3 linked regions of the Macaca fascicularis genome follow. The protein of the gene in region 2 interacts with the protein of the main gene of each other region in a pairwise test. Links are inferred from orthologs where the notes say so. Each region holds a gene or a part of one and is shown on either strand. Other genes may lie near its edges.

Region 1 (6,879 bases), about 77 Mb from region 2:
GTTGAATTCTCCTTTGATGTGTGTATGCTTAAATATTTTGCCATAATCCACTTATGTTAGTGGTAGAGACCAGTGGTGTAGACATTCTTAAAGAGTCCTTAATTCAGAAATCAGTTCCCTGCACAATGTGAAATTATTTTTGGCCATCACTTTATCTTCCTGTGTTTATTTTGCTTGGATTAATGCACAAATGAGATTGTAGTCTCAGAAACACATTCAGTGCTGATGGGAGAAAGCAGACAAGACCTGTGATATTGCCAGAAGTATTAGGCAATTAGGTTTGCCATAGATGATTTGAATTTGGCAATCGAGATGTAGACAGGACTTGATAATACTGAAAATGACTACAAAAGTGTTTTGGAAAACAGTTATATTCTTAAGATTTTTTTTCTCACCCAGTGTCATAGCAGTGATGCTTTTGTTGGTTTTATTACCAACCCAATTACTTCCATCTTCTTTGCTCTGATAGATACTGGACTTAGGCTCCCTGGTTCAGTTATTGTGTTAGTTGGGTAATAGCTGCAGTAACAAATCCTAGATTTTTATAGCATAACATAGTACAAATTTACTTCTCTCTCATATAACTTCTTGGTACAAGTGTTTGATTCCTGAGCATCCAGTCAGAAGGAGAAAGTTTGAAGGAGGCACACACATGTTTTAATCTCTTTAGCCTGGATATAAGTGGAAATAGTGAATACTTCTCACATGGCCCCACCTAGATGCAAGTGAGCCAGGCAATGTAGTCTTGTCAAGGTAGCTGCTTTTCAGTGACAACTTCATACCAAGAAAGGGGTTGGTGAAGTTTAGGTATCAACATAAACCTGGGCCATACCTGTAAAAATTATGTTTTATTGTGTATTATCTTACTGCCATAGACGTAAACAGGGTTATAATTTGAGGGTATTGTGTTACGCCTCTGTGTGATTCTTTTCAGAAGTAGACAGTTGTCCCATTGCAGACAAGGGAGAGAGCTTCCTGATGCCAGGCTACTGAACAGAATTATTAGGACCTCCATGCGCTCTTGGGTCCAGAGAATATAGGCTATCACATGAAACACTGAATAGATGCTCTGGTTTTCCTAATGGGAACACAGAAGCAAGCAAAATTTCACATTCAGCTGTCCTGTAATTTCTTAGAATTTGAAGCCAGTTAAGTGCCCAAGATATAAGTTTGCCTTTTTTTAAACCCTCTTGACACTTTAATATCCTAAGAATTACCAATAGCTTTCTCAGCTTCATATTGTCATTTCTGTGCTTGTTTAATCCCTTCCTACATAAAACTATAAACTCTTAGAGAGAGGGACGGTGTCTTAGCATATTTGTATTTCCAGTCCTTCCTTGTATATAACAATATTATATTATTGTATATAATCAATATTATAATATTTATAATATTGATTTAAGTGAACAAATCTCCTATGTGGAGATTTGTGCCAAGACAGAAAAGAAATGGGTGATACAGGTTATTTTCTTCTGGGGTAAATAGAATTGAGGAATTAAGACATACATGAGACCTTAACGCTTGCAAACTGCATACAAATGTGGACTAATTAATATGATGCCATCTGAGGTTAGCTCAGTGATGTCTACTCATAACTATTAAGCTTGATGCTTTTTTAGGTCTCCTGAGCAATAAGACCAAGCCAGTAGCTTCAGTGAGTGGGCAGTCATCTGGATGCTGTATCACCCCCACAGGGTATCGAGCTCAACGCGGGGGGACCGGTGCAGCACAGCCACTCAACCTTAGCCAGGTAAGCGCTACGGGCTACTGCCTTCTCTTTGGGCCTTGCACTGTTGTTACTTTCTGGAGAACCCTGCTTCTGGCTGGATGCTGAATAAAGCCAAATGAAGCCCCTTTTGTGTCAAACAATTTTGTGTTCTATGGCTTACGTCGTACCGCATGTGCTGCATCTCATCATTCACTTTTTGTGTTTGGGATGTACATTCTAGGTTTTCCATCAAACCTCCCTAAGTCTACCATGGAAGGTTAGAGAAACGTCTGGGATTTAGAAAGAGCGTGGGAAGTTTAACCATGTCAGTGATAGGCGTATGCTTTGAGACCAGATTCTCTTTATCCCTCAGGCCATAAGTAAGCTGATCCTTACCTTGTTTACTTGAGTCAAGAGACTGAAAAGCTCACTGGCCACCAAATTCAACTGGTTCTAGGTCCTGCTTGTTGCTGAAGTCTGGGATTTGGGACTTCCCCACTCTCCGAACATCCCCTGCCCCAACCCACCCTTCTACTTCTCTCATTACTTTATTTGTGTTCATTCTTGGAGGCTAAAATTCAAGTGCTTGTATGATGTCCACCAGTAGTGAGAAAGTTCAATATGAGAGAGAGAGTGTGAGAGCACATGCAAGTGAAAATGTAAGTTTGAGTTAGTGTATATATTTTAGGCTCCACATTTCAAGAGGGGTATGAAGAACTTAGAGGAGAAGAACAAAAGAAAGCAATGGTAAGAAATAAAGGTTAGGAAAAATTCAAATTTACTGATGCCAGAATAGGGTGAGTTGAGTCACCAGTTATTAAATTGCAGGAGTGGGGAACCCTGTGATCTCTTGATTCTCCCTCTTCCTGTCATACTTATAAGCAAACTGCTGTTACCTGAGCCAGGTTAGGATCTATCTTGCTAAGAGGCAGAGGGAGGGGTGGCTGATTTCTGACAGCATTCAATGCCAGTCTGGGAGATTATGTGTTATATACCCATTCGGAAACAGTACAAGTCAGGACCTGAGCTCTTAACTTGGCCTTTCGTGCCCTGAACCAGAGTGACCTCAAGATTCCTCACTTCCTTCTTTCTTCCAGAACCAGCAGTCATCGGCGGCTCCAACCTCGCAGGAGAGAAGCAGCAACCCAGCCCCCCGCAGGCAGCAGGCGTTTGTGGCCCCTCTCTCCCAAGCCCCCTACACCTTCCAGCACGGCAGCCCACTACACTCGACGGGGCACCCACACCTTGCCCCAGCCCCTGCTCACCTGCCAAGCCAGGCTCATCTGTATACGTATGCTGCCCCCACTTCTGCTGCTGCACTGGGCTCAACCAGCTCCATTGCTCATCTTTTCTCCCCACAGGGTTCCTCAAGGCATGCTGCAGCCTATACCACTCACCCTAGCACTTTGGTGCACCAGGTCCCTGTCAGTGTTGGGCCCAGCCTCCTCACTTCTGCCAGCGTGGCCCCTGCTCAGTACCAACACCAGTTTGCCACTCAGTCGTACATTGGGTCTTCCCGAGGCTCAACAATTTACACTGGATACCCGCTGAGTCCTACCAAGATCAGCCAGTATTCCTACTTATAGTTGGTGAGCATGAGGGAGGAGGAGTCATGGCTACCTTCTTCTGGCCCTGAGTTCTTAATATTGGGCTATGGTGAGATCCTCCTTTACCCTCTTGAAACTTCTTAGCCAGCAACTTGTTCTGCAGGGGCCCACTGAAGCAGAAAGTTTTTCTCTGGGGGAACCTGTCTCAGTGTTGACTGCATTGTTGTAGTCTCCCAAAGTTTGCCCTATTTTTAAATTCTTTATTTTTGTGACAGCAATTTTGGTACTTGGAAGAGTTCAGATGCCCATCTTCTGCAGTTACCAAGGAAGAGAGATTGTTGTGAAGTTACCCTCTGAAAAATATTTTGTCTCTCTGACTTGATTTCTATAAATGCTTTTAAAAACAAGTGAAGCCCCTCTTTATTTCATTTTGTGTTATTGTGATTGCTGGTTAGGAAAAATGCTGATAGAAGGAGTTGAAATCTGATGACAAGAAAAGAAAAATCATTACTTTTTGTTTGTTTATAAACTCAGACTTACTTGCCTATTTTATTTTAAAAGCAGCTTACACAAGTCTGTGTTTTTACTATCAGGCATTTCTCCTCAAAATCTCATCTTCGTTTATTGGACATTTAAACTTACAGAGTTTCAGTTTTGTTTTAATGTCATATTATACTTAATGGGTAATTGTTATTTTTGCAAAACTGGTTACGTATTACTCTATGTTACTATTGGGATTCTCTCAATTGCTCCTGTGTGTGTTATAAAGTAGTGTTTAAAAGGCAGCTCACCATTTGCTGGTAACTTAATGTGAGAGAATCCATATCTATGTGAAAACACCAAGTATTCTTTTTAAATGAAGCACCATGAATTCTTTTTTAAATTATTTTTTAAAAGTCTTTCTCTCTCTGATTCAGCTTAAATTTTTTTATTGTAAAAGCCATTAAGGTGGTTATTATTATATGGTGGTGGTTGTTTTATTATATGCAAAATCTCTGTCTCTTATGAGATACTGGCATTGATGAGCTTTGCCTAAAGATTAGTATGAATTTTCAATATTACACCTCTGTGTTTTGCTCATCTCTCCCTTCTGTTTTATGTGATTTGTTTGGGGAGAAAGCTAAAAAAACCTGAAACCAGATAAGAACATTTCTTGTGTATAGCTTTTATACTTTAAAGTAGCTTCCTTTGTATGCCAGCAGCAAATTGAATGCTCTCTTATTAAGACTTATACAATAAGTGCATGTAGGAATTGCAAAAAATATTTTAAAAATTTATTACTGAATTTAAAAATATTTTAGAAGTTTTGTAATGGTGGTGTTTTAATATTTTACATAATTAAATATGTACATATTGATTAGAAAAATATAACAAGCAATTTTTCCTGCTAACCCAAAATGTTATTTGTAATCAAATGTGTAGTGATTACACTTGAATTGTGTACTTAGTGTGTATGTGATCCTCCAGTGTTATCCGGGAGATGGATTGATGTCCCCGTTGTATTTAAACCAAAATGAACTGATACTTGTTGGAATGTATGTGAACTAATTGCAAGTATATTAGAGCATATTACTGTAGTGCTGAATGAGCAGGGGCATTGCCTGCAAGGAGAGGAGACCCTTGGAATTGTTTTGCACAGGTGTGTCTGGTGAGGAGTTTTTCAGTGTGTGTCTCTTCCTTCCCTTTCTCCTTCCTTCCCTTATTGTAGTGCCTTATATGATAATGTAGTGGTTAATAGAGTTTACAGTGAGCTTGCCTTAGGATGGACCAGCAAGCCCCCGGGGACCCTAAGTTGTTCACGGGATTTATCAGAACAGGATTAGTAGCTGTGTTGTGTAAATGCATCGTTCTCAGTTTCCCTGCCAACATTGAAAAATAAAAACAGCAGCTTTTCTCCTTTACCACCACCTCTACCCCTTTCCATTTTGGATTCTCAGCTGAGTTCTCACAGAAGCATTTTCCCCATGTGGCTCTCTCACTGTGCATTGCTACCTTGCTTCTGTGAGAATTCAGGAAGCAGGTGAGAGGAGTCAAGCCAATATTAAATATGCATTCTTTTAAAGTATGTGCAATCACTTTTAGAATGAATTTTTTTTTCCTTTTCCCATGTGGCAGTCCTTCCTGCAAATAGTTGACATTCCTAGTAAAATATTTGCTTGTTGAAAAAACATATAACAGATGAGTTTATACCAAAGAGCCTATTGTATTGCTTACCATGTCCCCACACTATGAGGAGGAGTTTTATGGTGCCGCTGGTGACAAGGAGCTCACAGAAAGGTTTCTTAGCTGGTGAAGAATATAGAGAAGGAACCAAAGCCTGTTGAGTCATTGAGGCTTTTGAGGTTTCTTTTTTAACAGCTTGTAGAGTCTTGGGGCCCTTCAAGCTGTGAAATTGTCCTGGTACTCTCAGCTCCTGCACGGATCTGGGTCAAGTAGAAGGTACTGGGGATGGGGACATTCCTGCCCATAAAGGATTTGGGGAAAGAAGGTTAATCCTAAAATACAGGTGTGTTCCATCTGAATTGAAAATGATATATTTGAGATATAATTTTAGGACTGGTTCTATGTAGATAGAGATGGTGTCAAGGAGGTGCAGGATGGAGATGGGAGATTTCATAGAGCCTGGTCAGCCAGCTCTGTACCAGGTTGAACACCGAGGAGCTGTCAAAGTATTTGGAGTTTCTTCATTGTAAGGAGTAAGGGCTTCCAAGATGGGGCAGGTAGTCAGTACAGCCTACCAGGAACATGTTGTGTTTTCTTTATTTTTAAAAATCATTATATTGAGTTGTGTTTTCAGCACTATATTGGTCAAGATAGCCAAGCAGTTTGTATAATTTCTGTCACTAGTGTCATACAGTTTTCTGGTCAACATGTGTGATCTTTGTGTCTCCTTTTTGCCAAGCACATTCTGATTTTCTTGTTGGAACACAGGTCTGGTTTCTAAAGGACAAATTTTTTTGTTCCTTGTCTTTTTTCTATAAGGGACAAGATTTGTTGTTTTTGTAAGAAATGAGATGCAGGAAACAAAACCAAACCACATTCCTTCCCCTAGTCCAATAAGCAGATACCACTTAAGATAGGAGTCTAAACTCCACAGAAAAGGATAATACCAAGAGCTTGTATTGTTACGTTAATCACTTGACTAGCAGTGTGTGGCTTTAAAAACTTTAGAGATTTTTCAGTCTTAGTGTGCAAACTGGCATTTCCGATTTTCCAACATAAAAATCCACCTGTGTCTACTGAATGTGTATGTATGTGCTCAATGTGGCTTTAGATTCTGTCCCTGGGGCTTAACATTGTTGGCCCTGACAGGAAGGGAGGAAGCCCGGTGAATTTAGTGAGCAGCTGGCCTGGGTCACAGTGACCTGACCTCAAACCAGCTTAAGGCTTTAAGTCCTCTCTCTGAACTTGCATTTCCAGCTTCTTCCTTTCCAGGTGAGAGAAGAAGCGGGGAAGGGTTCATTGTAGCCACTCTGGGTTCATAGGGACACTTGGTCACTCCAGAGTTTTTAATAGCTCCCAGGAGGTGATATTATTTTCAGTGCTCAGCTGAAATACCAACCCCAGGAATAAGAACTCCGTTTCAAACAGTTCTGGCCATTCTGAGCCTGCTTTTGTGATTGC
Region 2 (7,467 bases):
GTCTGAAAAATGTTTGTATTGAAATAAATCAAACAGTTTCGTGGCTGTACATCTCTTACTTCCCGTGAGGTGGGTGGACTGCCTTACCACCACCATCCTCCAGTCACTCTGTCTCAAACCTGATGCCTTTCTGCCCCTAAATGTTTCTCCATCCCCACTCCAGGCAGTAAGTCTTGCCTTTTCCATTCGAGCTGCTACCTGCTGCAAGCTGTCTCACCTGGACCACTAAACTGGCCTCCAAACCAGCCTGCTCATCTTACCCCTCCACTCCATTATTCATGCTGCAGCCAGCATGATCTTTCTACAACTCCGCTCACCCCAGGCCCCTGCTTAAACAGTTCCATAGGCTGCATTTCCTGCAGGGTGAGGTCTGTGCAACTTGGCATTCAGCTTTTAAGGACCTGGGCTCTGCCTGCCATTTTACTCTCCTGGCACTTCCTCCAAATGGAATTACTTGCTACTTCCCCAAAGCACCGTATGTTCTCAGACCTCCAGGCCTTTGCACCAGTTGTTTTCTATGCTTGGACTGCTCTTCCTCAACAAGTATTTATTGAACACATAGTAAGTGCCAGGAGCTGAGAACGAGGCGGGTGCAAGGCAGGCAGGATCTCAGTCCTTATTTAGGCTGGTGGGAGAGAGAAACAAAACCGTAAGCCTATATGGTAATTATTAAGTATAAACACACGTGGTAGGCATTCATAAAGGTTTCCTGAAAATGTCGGGGAGGGTGGGGCGCAGTGGCTCACGCCTGTAATCCCAGCACTTTGGGAGCCCGAGGTGGGCGGATCACTTGAGGTCGGGAGTTCGAGACTAGCCTGACCAACATGGAGAAACCCTGTCTCTACTAAAAATGTTTACAAAAACAACCCTGGGTCGGGCGTGGTGGCTCACGCCTATAATTCCAGCACTTTGGGAGGCCAAGGCGGGTGGATCACTTAAGCTCAGGAGTTGCAGACCCGCCTGGCCAACATGATGAAACCCCATCTACTAAAAATACAAAATTAGCAGCATTTGGTGGCACATGCCTGTAAATCCCGCTACTAGGGAGGCTGAGGCAGAAGAATTACTTGAACCTGGGAGACGGACGTTGCGGTGAGCCGAGATCGCGCCACTGCACTCCAGCCTGGGTGACAAGTGAGAAACTCCGACTCAAAAAACAAAAAAAAGAAAATGTCGGGGAGGGAACTTAGAGGGCGGGTCAATAGGTGCAGCAAACTGCCGTGCAGACGTATACCTATCTAACAAACCTGCACGTTCTGCACACGTGTCCTGGAACTTAAAGTAAAATTAAAAAAAAAAAGAAAGAAAAAGGAAAATGTCAACCACGGCTTCAGAAAGCGATTGGAGCCCAGGATCTACCAGTGACTACCTATGTGACTTGGGGCAGCTGACTGCGCGCGTCTCCACTTCTGTGTAATGGCAGTAATAATGCCCCCCCACAGGATTTCGGGGAGGATTTAATACGCGATACATACAATCTCGCGGTTTCCGCTGGGCCGGAGGGGCCCCCCTACTCCAGGGCGCCGAGGGTCCGCCTGCCCAGGGCCGGGCCCCGCCGCAGGCAGCTGTGGGCGCCACTGTGTGCGCGTACCTGCCCGGAGAGCCGGACTGCCAGGCCCAGACCGCGGACGCCAGGGTCTGGCACAAGGGGCATCGGACGCCAGGCGAGGGGAGCGTCGCCCCGCCCATCTCCCCACTTTGGGGGACAGCCCCCCTCGCTCATTCCCGCCTCCACCCTTGACTTGAATCACTGTTGGGGGGGGTGGGACGGGGCGTGACCCATTCATGCCGGGAATCGGATCCAGATGTTCCCGTGGCGTGTGCAGCTGCATCCTTGCCTTTTTTGGCAAAAAACGTGCGGTCGCGAGCGGATCCCGGGCCGCCCTCGTTAATCCTTGGGAAGAGGGGGAAGGGGGCTGAGAGGGTCTAGGCCCAGACTGGGGATCGGAACCGGGTCCTTGCTCTGCGGGCTTTGGGAAGGGCTGTTGGCGGAGGGGACTATTGGTACCAGCCAATTAAGGCACCCCATCGCCACCCTCGCTTTCGTCTGGAACCTCCCCCAAACCCCTCCCTTCCCTGCATGGAGGAAAAAGCCCTCTGCCAGCAGGGAGGCAGGCCGAGCTCCAGAGGGACGGTAGCCGTGGCGGGGATCCCCTTCATGGGGAGAGACTTCCCACCCCGTGGCCCGGCCCCCCTCCACCCCGCCCTGCAAGGACGAGGTCTAGAAGAGATTCTGAGCCTCCCAGTCTGCAAAAACCCTTCCTTCCCCTTTATACCCTGCGCGCGCACGCGCGCACACACACACACACAGAGGCACACACGGAGGCCCCTGCTTCCTCACACCGCTTTATTGCAGAATCTGGAAGGGGGGTGAGCCAATCTCACCCCTCTGCCCATCTATGGGCAAAATGGAGCTGAAATAAAATGAGAAGACACTCGGTGGCCACCAGCTGGGCAGCACCCTGTACCCTAGGGCCCCCTCATCGGTGGGCCCCTGATCGCTGTCCCCACAGCCTCAGCCCCGGGGGGATGGGGTGGGGCAGGTCAAGCTTGAGAACAGTCCACTTTTGAGGACTTCTCAGGCACCCATAGGAGACCTAAAACCTATAAAGAGAAGTCTAGATTTAAGGGGGCCTAAGTCCCAGAGCCCAGGTTTGGAGGGCTGGGGTCTAGAGCCCTGATTTGGGGAGAGGACTCAGTCTGGGAACCCAGACTGCAGGGGAGAGGGTGAGTTCTGGAGTCCAGGTGTGGGGAGGCAGCTTGACTCATGGAGGCTCTATAAGAGCCCAGGTTTGGGGGCCTGGGTCAGGGAGTACCAGTTTGGGGATGCTGGCGTGGAGAAACAATCCTGGAGCCCAGAGGGCGACCCATTTTTTTTGGTTGGGGGGTGGGGCTAAGTCCCAGAGGTGGTTTAGAAAAGGAGCTACAGTCCTGGGCCCGTGGTATGGGAAAGCCTGGGTCCAGGAGCCTGGCTCAGGGCCCTGCCTGGCTACAGCCCTGGCAGAGCACTTGGTCTCCATCCGGCACGAAGCCTTGGCCCACCAGGGAGGTAGAGCAGCGGGCGCAGGAGAAGCAGTTGTGGTGCCAGTGTCGGTCTTCAAAGGACACATACTTGCCTCCACCGAGTCCTGGAGGGAGGCTGGAAGTTAGCTCTGCAGATCTAGGGATGGTCCGGCCCTCAACTTCACCCAATACCACATCCCATTCCCTTGCCTGCACCCTACCCACTCCGTTCTTTGACCCTTGTCCCACCTACGATGGGGCGCTTGCAGCTGCTGCACTTAGGTGCAAAGAGTTCTCCAAAACAGGCCACACAGTAGGGATCTTCATCCCGGGAGGTGAACTGCTGCCCTGCCAGGGGCGTCTGGCAGCCGGTACAGACCAGACATTCTCGATGCCAGGGCTGATCACGGTATGTCACTCCACCCTGTGTCAGCGTCTGTGGGGGCAGCATTCATTAGTAGGTATGAGTGGGGATTCCCACCCCACGACAGGCCTTACTCACCCCCACCTGGCTGGCCCAGCCCCCACCTTGCTGCAGCGGGCGCAGCGAGGAGCAAACTTGTTCTCATAGCAGGGCACGCAGTAGTGAGCACCCTTGTCGGGCACAAAGGAACGGGAGCCCAGCGGCTGCTCACAGCCACTGCACAGGAAGCAGTGCTCATGCCATGTCTGGCCTCCGTACTCCAGCTTCCGGGACCCTGTGGGGAACAGGGGTCCCATTTAGAGGCTGTGTCCCATGCTCCTGAGGGCCACCCTCTGTAACTTCCCCGGGAGTCTCCACTCCTCTCGCAGCCTGAGCAGGGTGGTGTCCAGTGCACATGCAGCAAGAACCCCCCTGCCCCATGTACATTACACATGCTAACCTCTCCCCAGACACCGGACATGATGACCCAGCTAGACACGAGGATTTTGGCATATGTTAAGCCCCCATATGTCCCAGAAATGACAATTTCAGCACATATCGAGCCTCCATGTAACAGTCATGAAGTCTCACTATGAGCTAAGCCCTCATATAACAGATGTGATGATTTCAGCACTCACACGGGACCCCACATGTACCAGGCAAGTAAGTATATGCCCTAATGCCCTCGGCATGACAGGTTCAGTACATGCTAAGCCCTCGCATCTCCTTGGCACACCATTCTCCATAGGTACTGAGTCCCAACATTTCTATTAGGCATGCAGGTCCCCACACATGTTAAGCCCTCTGTTTACCTGCCTCTGCACACACTAAGACCCAATGCAATAAGCACGACAGTCTCAGCACACCTCTAGTTCCTACATGTACTAAACATGCAGATACTCACACATGCTAAGCCCCCAAGTATGTATCACATGTGTCAATCTGCCTGCACATAGTAACCCCCAGTATACCAGGCAAACAGATCCTGCATATACTAAATTTCCAGAAACATGCTGTGTGTGCAGGTCTTTACACAGACCAAGTCTCCATGTATCAGACAGACACATGCAAAGACCCTACGCAGATGCCAGGCATGCCAGTTCTTACACAAGATGAGCCCCTGAGGACATACCAGGCATGACAGTTTCCCCACAGGCGGAGCACTGCGAGGAAAACGCACTGCAGTAGCAGTCATTGCAGAGCAGCTCACTGTCCTGGCAGGTGAAGGGTTCATCGGCTAGTGAGCGCTGGCAGCGGCAGCAGCGGAAGCAGCCCTCGTGGAAATGGCGGTCTTCATAGAACAGCTCCTGTGGCGAACACAGCGGGGGCACTGGCACCCAGGCCTGGTGGATCCATCCTTTGCCCCCTTCCACTGGTCACCACCCACCTCCTGCCTGGCCTGGCCCTCTCCTTACCCTCGAGTCATGCCCGATAAGCTGCTGGCACTCGGCGCAGGTGTTGGCAAAGGTATTGTCATAGCAGGGCACACAGTAGGGGCCGCTGTCTGTCTGGATGTACTTGCGTCCATACAGGGACTCGCTGCATTTTGCACAGTCAAATGACTCGCTCATCGTGGCAAGGAGAGAGAACCCTGTTAGGAGCACAAGGTGGAACTGGGGTCACACAGAGAGGCTGTGACTTGGCTCCTGGCAAATAGGCCTCTGCATTCAAAACACAGAAACAGACCCGGCATAGGAAATGCCAGTTCAGAGTAGGTGGTGATGGGGAAGGGGTGCTTCCGGGAAACCAGGAGTCCCGCATGTTTCTTTCTGTATTTAACTGGGGATAGAAAGAGGTCAGAAAAAAAACCAGGAAGCAGAAGTTGTTTTCTTATCTAGGCCCTAGCAGATCTAGGGGGAGGGGGCTTTTCCTGGGTCGGTGACTCATTTCCTGCCTCAGCCAGCATTTAGCCTCCACTGTCCCGACTGTCCCCAGCGTGGGAGAAGCAGGGGCAGGGAGCCACCCCACTCTACTCCAGATGAGCAGTACTCCCACCCTCTCCTGACTCGGGACTTTAGGAATATGGATCAAGGAACCCTTACCCAGAGCTCTGGAGTACGGAACTTAAGAGATGGGAATGGGCTGTTCCTAGCCCCTCCTGATCCAAAAAACAGTGGAATGCTAGAGAGGTGCTGGACTGATGAATGGTGGAGGAGGCCAGTGTGAGAGGTTAGGCCTTCCCTCCCGGGGCATCAGCCAAAGAGGCTCAAGCAGGAAGGAAATCCTGCAGGCTGGACACAACCAGGCTTCCCCAGCTAGACCCTCTGCCCTCATCCCCCTACCCCCACTGTGTCTCTGGTCACACTGGCTTGGACAGCCTTGGCCTGCAACATCTGCAGCAGCTGTGGCAGCACAGATGGCCAGATGTCAGGTTTTGCCAGCAATGGGGAGAAAAAAGGAAAATGAAGTGTCGGGGGAGGCAGAGGGGAACTGGAGACAGACTGAGAGTGCAGTGTGCCCCCTGCCACCTCCTGCTAGCATCTGGCAAAACCCCAGTATCTTTCCATCCCCTGGGGTCATGATTTCCCTCCCACTGCCTCTGGGAGAGAAGGTCTCTCCCACCTTTTCTGATTTCTCAGGGTTTGGGACTAGGGAGCTGAAAGCAGAGACAGCAAGAGCCAGTGAAGACATTTTGTCCCCAGTCAGGCCCCATCTTGGGTGGGGAGTAGGACAAGGGGGAGCCCTGAGAGCTGCTGCTGGAGACACCCAGCCCCCGACCAAACCTCAGACACTTTCCATTTTCTCAGGAACAAAGCATGTTTGTGGGATGAGGTCATCCACACAGCTGCCTCTGGAACAGGAGCCTGGGGAGTAGAGCGGTAGGGAAGTGGGGTTCCCAAACCTTTCTGCTGCCCGATTCCAGTCACTAGCCCCAAAGTCAGAGCTCCCACCCCTGCTCTCTTCTATCATGAAGCCTGCTCTCTAAGAGCTGGGATACTGGGCTAGTGGAGAGGAACCACCAGGACCCATAGGAAGGAGATGTTCTCACAGCTGTGGATGAGCCCGGGGAAGTTACAGTGACACACAAAGGAATCCACCAACCCACTCTCCCACAAGGCCCCAGTGCTGGCAGTCACCAGGGCCTGCCCTGGCTCAAGCTGAAGGAAAAGTCCTCCTTTTCTCATCCACCCCCAGTGCGAAATTCTTGACAAAAAGCGCTGCTCTGGCTTGAAGTTCAGACTCCAGGCACCAGCAGACGCCCCCAGCTTGGAGGCCTGACTCTCCATACATCAAGCCTCTGTGCAATGGGAGAACAGCCAGCTCCCACTTCAGGCCAGGGTATGAGGCCACCAGGGGCCAGGGTCTTTAGAGCTGGAACTCCTGGGCTGGGGGCTACGGTGAAGGGTAGAGAAGATACTCTTCTTTCTCAGCCCCTTTCCTGCCACTCAGGCCCAGGTTTCCTCTGGCCCAACATCTGAGGATTGCCTGGGCTGTCAGCCACGGGGCAGCAGGGGGCCACACAGGTGGAATGTGTCCACGGGGGGTGCCTGGGCCTCTTCCTTCCTTCTTGGCTTGGCCCACTGCAGCTGCCACCTTCTCAGGCCCAGGCTAGCCTTGGGTCCACCCCCTGGGAGACAGTCAGCACTCAGAAACCAGGGTAACCCAAATAGGGTATGGGCATCGCTTCTATTTCCTTCCCAGAATCCCCCAATGCCCTAGTCTATCCAGCTGGACTCTGGTGAGGACAGAGTAAAGGGCACCAACAAGGCCCACCTGTCTCTGCCCATACCCCTCTCCCCGCCCTTTTCCCTGGCAAGGCTGGCGACTAAGGAGACTGAAGGGAGCCAGTCTTGTATTTCTTCCTGACTGGCAGTGGGGCGGGGTTTGGGGGAGACTGTTCCTCTACAGATGGCTCACAACCCCTGCACCTCCAACAATCTCCCCTCACAAGGCACCTCCCAGTGAACCTCCTGGAGCTCAGAATGGCTGTGTAACTGGCTATGGTGTATGAAGCCGCTCAAGCTACAAGGTTTGCATCCTGGCTCCTACACGTACTGGCTGGATGATCTTGCACAAGTCACTTAAGCTCCCCAAGCTTGTTTTCCCATCTAACTAAATGA
Region 3 (7,263 bases), on a different chromosome or scaffold from region 2:
TTTTGCGTAAGTCACCTCTGGTTCCTCCCAACCAACTTACGACGCTTTATGACCGTGATTTTCAGACAAGAAACAGGCTTACAGAGGTAAGGGTTTGAGACCACTCAACTGGTTTTAACAGAATCTGGCCAGAGGTGCCGGCTCCACGTCCACTGCCCTTTCCGCAGCGCCACGGTGCCTCCCACAAAACACCCACAGCGTCCTTGGCTAATGAGGGGCCCCTGTCGGAGGCCACAGGAAGCCTTTTCAGAGCCCCTCTGGGGCATGAGTGGGGAGCGGCTCTGCTCCCCAGAGCTTCAAAGCCCCATCAAGGAAGTGCTGAGACCTGACCTGCTGAAGTGGCCGAGTGTGTGTATGGGGGGAGTGGACTCAATTTTTATTTTTGAAACCTCATGCACAGAGTTCCTTATATTCCTCAGGTCCCACAAGAGTACCAGGTGCAGTTTCAGAACCACCTTTCTAAACCTCTGCCCACCGACTGAAAGCAACACGGCCCTTCACAGCCCGGCTTCCTTCTTTTGACACACAGCTCTTCCGCTCCAGTGGAGAGTCGCCAAAGGTCACGAAGGGTAAACAGTCTCCTCTGGACTCCCGGTCTGGGAAACCCGTTTCAGCCCCGGGGGGAGCCCAGTGGCCACTGGCGCTGCCCAGGGGCTGCTGTGGGGCAGAGATAACACGCACAGGAAGGGTGGGGTGGCAGGAGCCCTCCCAGGAGCAGGGCTTGCCCGTAAACAATGAGCTGCCGCCTGGCCAGGGCAGGAGGTGATTCATCTGCCCCCGCTGCTCAGCTCCTGGCTGGCTGCGCTCACGGGGCACCGAGGGACTGGGGCAGCCCTGGCCAGGCGCTGACGCCTCCCTACTCCCTGCACAGGTCAGGATCTCACCCCAGCCCTTCTGGAAACTGGCTTGACTTCAAAAGCCTGGGTGTGTCCAAGAAGTGATCTGGACTGGGGAGTGCTCAAATGCACCCAAGGGAGCACAGCTCCACCATCACCCAAGAACTGGCTGGGTTTTGGGATCCAGGCGGCACATGGAGCGAACGTGGAGCTTGGGGGGGTCCCGCCTGTCCATGTCCAGAGGCGTACACGGGTAACAACGGTGACTTCTTGGGCTACCCCTCTGAACGGCGTCCCAGGCCTCCATCACCCTATCGTCAACCCTGAGGCAGCAGTCCCAACCAAGATGGGGGGACGTGTGAGCTGAAGCATTTGCCTGCAAACAGAATGCAGGAGAGGCCAGTGCATCTGAGATGCCAAGAGGTAAGAAAATGGCACTTTTAATGGGCGGCAGACCCCAGGTGGTGCGTGGACAGACCCTGTCCACAGCACCTGGCTCCTGTGCTGCCTGTCCTTCTGTCTGGAATGCCACATAGAAGCTCCTCTCAGGTGGCATCAGGGGAGCAGGTCCCAATCCTGAAATATACAAAGTGGCGCCTCCCACTGGGCAGTGGTCACTGGGCTGCACAGTCCTTTCGAGTCCTAGGGTGGCCCCTCAGGTCACTGCTTGGCCTTCTTCACAATGGTGCCCACAGCAGAGATGACGGTGGTCTTGGAGCCGCTGGCGCTGGTGGTGACCGTGACGACAGCTGGCAGGGTGGCTGTAGTGGTGAGGATGGTGGGCTGGGCTATCGTCGTCACTGGGATAGCCGAGTCCCACTTGCTCTTTCTCTTCTGAGCATCTGGAGATAAAGCAGAAGTCAGGATCGCGATCCACTAATGAGCAGCGCTCTCCTTCCCTTCCCCTGCAGGCCAGCACGGGCCTAGGGAGCAGAAACCGAAGGGGCCCCCCCAAGACTCCAAAGCTGGTTCTCAAAGTCCCTGCTTAGAAAAGAGCAAGGCTGAGCCTAGGCCTAGATCCACGTGTTGTCTGTTGCCCAAACTAGCCAGGGAGACACTGGCTCCGTGTGTATGGCAGGAGGCAGGGAGGCAGGGCAGCTCTGCAATCTACCTGCAACAGCTGTGCTGGCAGTGGTAGTGGTGGTGGCCGTGGCGTTGGTCGTGGTGCCTTTCTTGGTGCCCGTCACAAACTCAATCTGGAGAGGGAGAGGGAAGAGAATGAGGCTGGGCAAAGCTGGGTGTCCATAGCCTTTTGCCATCCGTCAGCTCCTGGGGGACAGGAGCTTGGCACTACACAAAAGAGGTATTGGAAATGAACTCTGCTCTGACCATCTGGGGGAGGGTGAGGTGTCTAAGAACCCAAAGGGGCTTTTCGCTCTTAAAAGAACTTTCCAAACAGTACTGGATCCCTCCCGGCATCACCAGGTCTCTGCACATGCCCGGCACCCCCGGCCCACCGCCCCACCTCACATGCCCAGAACCGTTTGGCCAGGCCCCTCCTCCTCACACCCAGGAGGAGGCGGCGCCCGCCCGCACAGGGGAAGGACAGCTCCGGTCCCCAGGCGCTGCAGACACGTCCCTGCAACAAGCCTGGGGTTTGGAAGGGAGAGGGAAAGAGAGAGAAGGGAGATTCAATCAAGGGTTAAGAATGAGAAACCCCGATTATCCCCTTGCACCAGCTCCCACGTTCCTGGCCCAGCAGCCAGTGACTCCAGAGGGCCACCAGCATGCCCAGGCCCCAGAGCCCCTCTGCCTGGGGTGAGGGAAGCAGTCTGGAGGCCGCAGCTACTTGAGGATGGTCAGGCCGAGCCAGACGTGGGAGGAGCTGGTGTCCTGATGCCTGGCTCCGAGACTGGTCACAAAGGGAACAAGGCCCAGAGATAACACTTTGGTCTCACAGCCAAACTGATGCTCCCTGAAGAACCCAGACCACACTGCTGGGGAACAAGTGGCGCTCAGGGCCCTAACATGGGACCTAATAGGTAGCAACCAGGCGGGCCACCGAGGGCAGCTCTGGAGGCCAAGAAACTCACTGAGCAGAGCAAGCTGGGCCCGGCACTCTCTTAGGGAATTACTTCCCTCCCTTCAGGCCACAGAGGGCACCCACGACCCAAAATAGACAAAGCCTCCCAAGGTTCTGCAATTGAGGGGAGGAAGGGGGTCACAACGCAGCAAGCAAGACTCCAAGGGCAAGGCAGCAGGCGAGCACCGCAAACCCAGAGCAGGGCCTGTGCCCTGACATGGGGCCAGGGCGGGGGGCAGCCTGGACAACCTCTGGGCTCAGCCAGCAGGACCCATGCACTTCACATCTGCCTTTTCCATCTAGGAGGTCTGCCATCACTTACTTTCGTTCGCTCCTTTTTGGCCTTTTCCAATTTGTCCATCTCAATCTTCTGGGCCTTGGCTATGAAGACAAGAGAAGCTGTTACAAAGGCGGCCCCTGAGCAGCTCTGGGCTGAGGGAGCCGACTCTGATCCCTGCGTTCTTTTCAGTGGGCTAAAGGTCTTCATGGGCTCAGTGTTCTTCGTGCTAGGCAAAATGAAGCCAGCCCTTGCTTGGCGTAGGGCAGGGGCCTTCAGCTCCAGACTGGAGGGCTGCATGCCCCGTGTCTGTGTCTGGAAGGGTCAGCTACTCCTGAGCTCCTGTGGACTGCCGCACACGGAAATACAGGCCCAATGGGGACTACCTTGCTACTGACTGAGAGAAGCTGGAATCAGAGATTATTATGTAAAATGTTGGCAATGAATTCAAAATAAAAGACAGTAACATTCATGAAGGCCAAACAAAGCACCTCTACAGGCCAAGATCTGGGCCATGGGCTACAGGCTCAAGACCTATGGTCTAGGGGTTGGGCCCTTTGACATTCCTCCCAGTTCTCCCAAACTGGTACCTTAAGAATAAGCCACCCTCTCACTGGCCTCGGAACATTCTGCCTGCACCTGCCTGGCCCCTCTGCCTCTTCAAACCTCAGCTGGAACACAGTTTTGTCAGTGAGACCTTCCCATCCCTTTGGCCAGATTAGATGACCCTGCTTGCCAAAGCTCCCCTGTACCCAGCAACTCTGTCATCACCAACACTTCATCGATGCTGGCATTACTGGCGTGATGCATTACTGGCATCTTCTTTGCTGTGGCATAAGCCTCTTAAGGCAGGGGTGGGTCTGTCTCATTCAGGCCTGTACCCAGCCCCTTGAACATGGCCTGACGTAAAGGAGACCCTGAAATACGTGTTGCCTGGATAACCAACTGACTGGATAAAGGGACAGTTGGGTGGGCGGACGAGGTATATGGGAGGAGGGATGAAAGGCTACCTAATGCCTCATAGTAGGAGTCCTCAGACCAGCCATGGGGATCAAACATATCCTGCAAAGGAAAAGGCGAAAGTTGCAGTTAGTAGGAACCGTCATATGACAAATGACTCAGAAACCCAAGTTCCTTGCCTGAGTCTTTCCACAGAGCTTCCTGGTCTGGGGTCCCCTTACCTGGGGCTCGGCTGTCATCCCTGGTCTCTAGCCAAGGGGCAGCTGGCAAGTGCTGAAGAACACGGGAGCATGAAGCCCCCATCCAGTGACCCCCAGGAGCAGCAGGTCCACACATGTCCCCACCAGTCAGGGGCCAGACACCAGGTCGGCCACTGGAATCTCTTTATTGGACTATTTCAGAACAATAGGGACTCAAACACAAGACATGGGGACTGTGCTTTCAACTAGCGGTGCCACTACATGGACCCTTCTGTGGCTGCAGGTCAAACCCCATGGAACAAGCACAGGACCCCGGGTGTCCCCATCACCCTCCAGCTCCGTGTGCCAGATGTACCTTTGGGTAGTTGGTGCCAAGCTCGTCAATGGCACAGAACTGGATCAGCTTCTCGTAGATGCTGAAAAAACAGCACAGGCGTTGAGCAGGCACAAGTCCACGTCCCTGCCTGGGGCCTGAACCATCCAGCTCCTGGGGCTGACACAAAACCTTCAAAACCTTTAAATCCAGCTCAGCTGCTCTAAGCAAGCTTCCTGATGGCCCTACACCCTCCCAGGGAGATGGACCTGTTAACTAAGGGCCGGGAGGAGCATGGGGTCAAGGTGATGGCTGAGTTTTGTCCCACTGACCTTCAGTCTGCATGGTTGGGTTGGGCTCACCACACTCAGGCCCACACAAGGGCCATGCTCTTTCCCCCGTAAGTCACTAGCTTGAGCATTAAATGGAATAAGACCAGACATAGCTCTGGTCCTAAGACCTCTCACCTATATGCAAAAATCAGCTTTTTAGAGTTGAAAGATGAACCTATAGTAATTGTCTAGTCCAATTCCTTCCATGAGGACAGGGGTCTTGAGAGGTCATGTGCTTTAGGCTCAGAGCAGGGACGAGAACTCAGCCAGGTCTCCCTCATCCCCGTCTAGGTCTCGGTATGGACTGCTTTGTGTTTTGTCAGGATCTTAAATGGCAAGCCTCTGGCTGGGTTAGCATAGTCTGCCGTGTCCAGCAGGCACTCAGTGTAATGACAAGTCTGGGTGATGGTTTGGGCTCAGGGCTTTTCCTCACCACCTCCTTGGGGACGTCCTTAATCCAACATTAATAACTCAATAAACTCTGCAGGTTCAAGAGAAACTTACCTGGGGTTCCGAAATTCTTTCTTTCTTTGGATAATGTAGTTCATATCCATTCCCTCCTTTATTTTTCGTTCATAAAGCTTCTGGATCTTGTCCTATGGAAGAGGAGCAGAGGGGTGTATGACAGAAGCCCACCTCTCCACCATCCCAGCCCCTGGTCACCAGCTACGTGTGCAGCATGAACGTGAGGCTCCAGAGCCACGCAAAGCCCAACTTGACCTCATGTTAAAATTTAACCTATTCTTGGCCGGGCGCGGTGGCTCATGCCCGTAATCCCAGCACTTTGAGAGGCCAAGGCGGGTGGATCACGAGGTCAGGAGATCGAGAACATCCTGGCTAACACGGTGAAACCCCATCTCTACTAAAAACACAGAAAATTAGCCAGGCATGGTGGCAGGCACCTGTAGTCCCAGCTACTTGGGAGGCTGAGGCGGGAGAATGGCGTGAACCCAGAAGGCGGAGAATTTAACCTATTCTCAGCCGGGCGCAGTGGCTCACGCCTGTAATCCCAGCACTTTGGGAGGCTAAGGTGGGTGGATCACAAGGTCTAGAGATTGAGACCATCCTGGCCAACATGAAACCTCGTCTCTACTAAAAACACAAACAACATTAGCTGGGTGTGGTGGGGCACGCCTGTAATCCCAGCTACTTGGGAGGCTGAGGCAGGAGAATCGCTTGAACCTGGGAGGTGGACATTGCAGTGAGCTGAGATCATGCCACTGCACTCCAGCCTGGTAACAGAGTGAGACTCTCTCAAAAACACGAAACAAAAAATTAACCTATTCTCTTTTTCCACCCTACCTTTTGCCCAGAATTGCACACAAGTAACATAAACCAAGACCAGGCTGCTTTCACTGCTGAGGTTTCCTGACACTCTCTGGATGACAATATAGTGAGCAGTGAAAAGATCACAGCAGAGGAGCCACGGAGAAAAAAATGAACAAAGCCCCAATTGGTTAATCAGTTCCAGAATCATCCGAAGCAGGGTGTAGGGTACTGGTGTTGATATGCAGGGAATGAATCCTGGTTTTAAATTTTAACATGAGGTCAAGTCCTCAGCAGAACTGTGAACCACAGGAGACTTCGGAAGGGCTATGGCCTTTTCATGGGAGGCAGGAGTAGTTGTTTGGATTCGGTCTTGCAAGCTTTTTAGATTGTGTCTTTTACAGGGAGGCGCACAGGTGGCTGGTCCGCGCTGGCTTATCGAGGGTATCAAGGGTTAACTGCTTCTCTCTCACCCAAATTCCCCACAGGTCATGCCTGGCTCTCAGTGGGAGAGTGGAGAACCACCACGGGGGATGCAGGCTGACCTACTGCGGCCAGTGCCACAGGCGTCCTCAGGAAGGGGGTCCTCCCCAGCCCATGGACATGATGCCCAAAGTAGATGGCATCAGCATGGCCCAGTGCCAATGAAGAGGGCCAAGACACCAGAGCCACCTCTGGTAAGAGCAGTCTCAGCCAGGAAGGCGGGCACTGGTCCAGGGCAAGATCTACCTGCAGCCTCCCCCTGCAGTGGGGCTTAAACAGAGATTCTCCAGAAGGGAAACACCTGAGGCACTGTGCCAGCAAAGCGGGCGGGCAGGCCTGGAGGGCCCAGGTGACAGCGTTTAGGACATGTCAGGAGGGGTGATCCACTCCCCTTATTAGAGGCCAAATCTTTCTACCGAGACTGGCCAGAGCAAGAGCTGAACCGCAGAGGGAGGTCTGTGATATAATCGCCGAGACTGAAGAACTTCTGTCCTCCAAGCTATCTCCTCCAGGGTCATGGAGGGAGCCATATATAGAAGGCTCAGCAACTTGAGGAGAACCCATGTCATACAG

What was found. The genes of interacting proteins can lie anywhere in the genome.
Region 1: the proteins of FHL3 (region 2) and HIPK1 interact in binary tests that used the Homo sapiens proteins (3 or more experiments, as listed by UniProt). The two-hybrid records come from large-scale screens. The link is inferred for Macaca fascicularis from reciprocal best matches to the Homo sapiens genes FHL3 and HIPK1.
Region 3: the proteins of FHL3 (region 2) and SAP30BP interact in binary tests that used the Homo sapiens proteins (3 or more experiments, as listed by UniProt). The two-hybrid records come from large-scale screens. The link is inferred for Macaca fascicularis from reciprocal best matches to the Homo sapiens genes FHL3 and SAP30BP.

The regions. Positions count from the first base shown.
Region 1 is NC_088375.1:120,390,511-120,397,389, reverse strand, and holds part of HIPK1 (homeodomain-interacting protein kinase 1), read left to right. Parts: intron 1-1,619; coding exon 1,620-1,750; intron 1,751-2,805; coding exon 2,806-3,294; 3' UTR 3,295-6,879.
Region 2 is NC_088375.1:196,914,010-196,921,476, reverse strand, and holds the end of FHL3 (four and a half LIM domains protein 3), read right to left. Parts: intron 4,998-7,467; 5' UTR 4,978-4,997; coding exon 4,822-4,977; intron 4,714-4,821; coding exon 4,539-4,713; intron 3,702-4,538; coding exon 3,532-3,701; intron 3,440-3,531; coding exon 3,253-3,439; intron 3,129-3,252; coding exon 2,974-3,128; 3' UTR 2,334-2,973; downstream 1-2,333. UniProt on the Homo sapiens protein: Recruited by SOX15 to FOXK1 promoters where it acts as a transcriptional coactivator of FOXK1.
Region 3 is NC_088390.1:82,106,114-82,113,376, reverse strand, and holds part of SAP30BP (SAP30-binding protein), read right to left. Parts: intron 5,538-7,263; coding exon 5,446-5,537; intron 4,713-5,445; coding exon 4,652-4,712; intron 4,199-4,651; coding exon 4,147-4,198; intron 3,241-4,146; coding exon 3,182-3,240; intron 2,427-3,181; coding exon 2,346-2,426; intron 2,033-2,345; coding exon 1,948-2,032; intron 1,679-1,947; coding exon 1,497-1,678; 3' UTR 1-1,496. UniProt on the Homo sapiens protein: Plays a role in transcriptional repression by promoting histone deacetylase activity, leading to deacetylation of histone H3.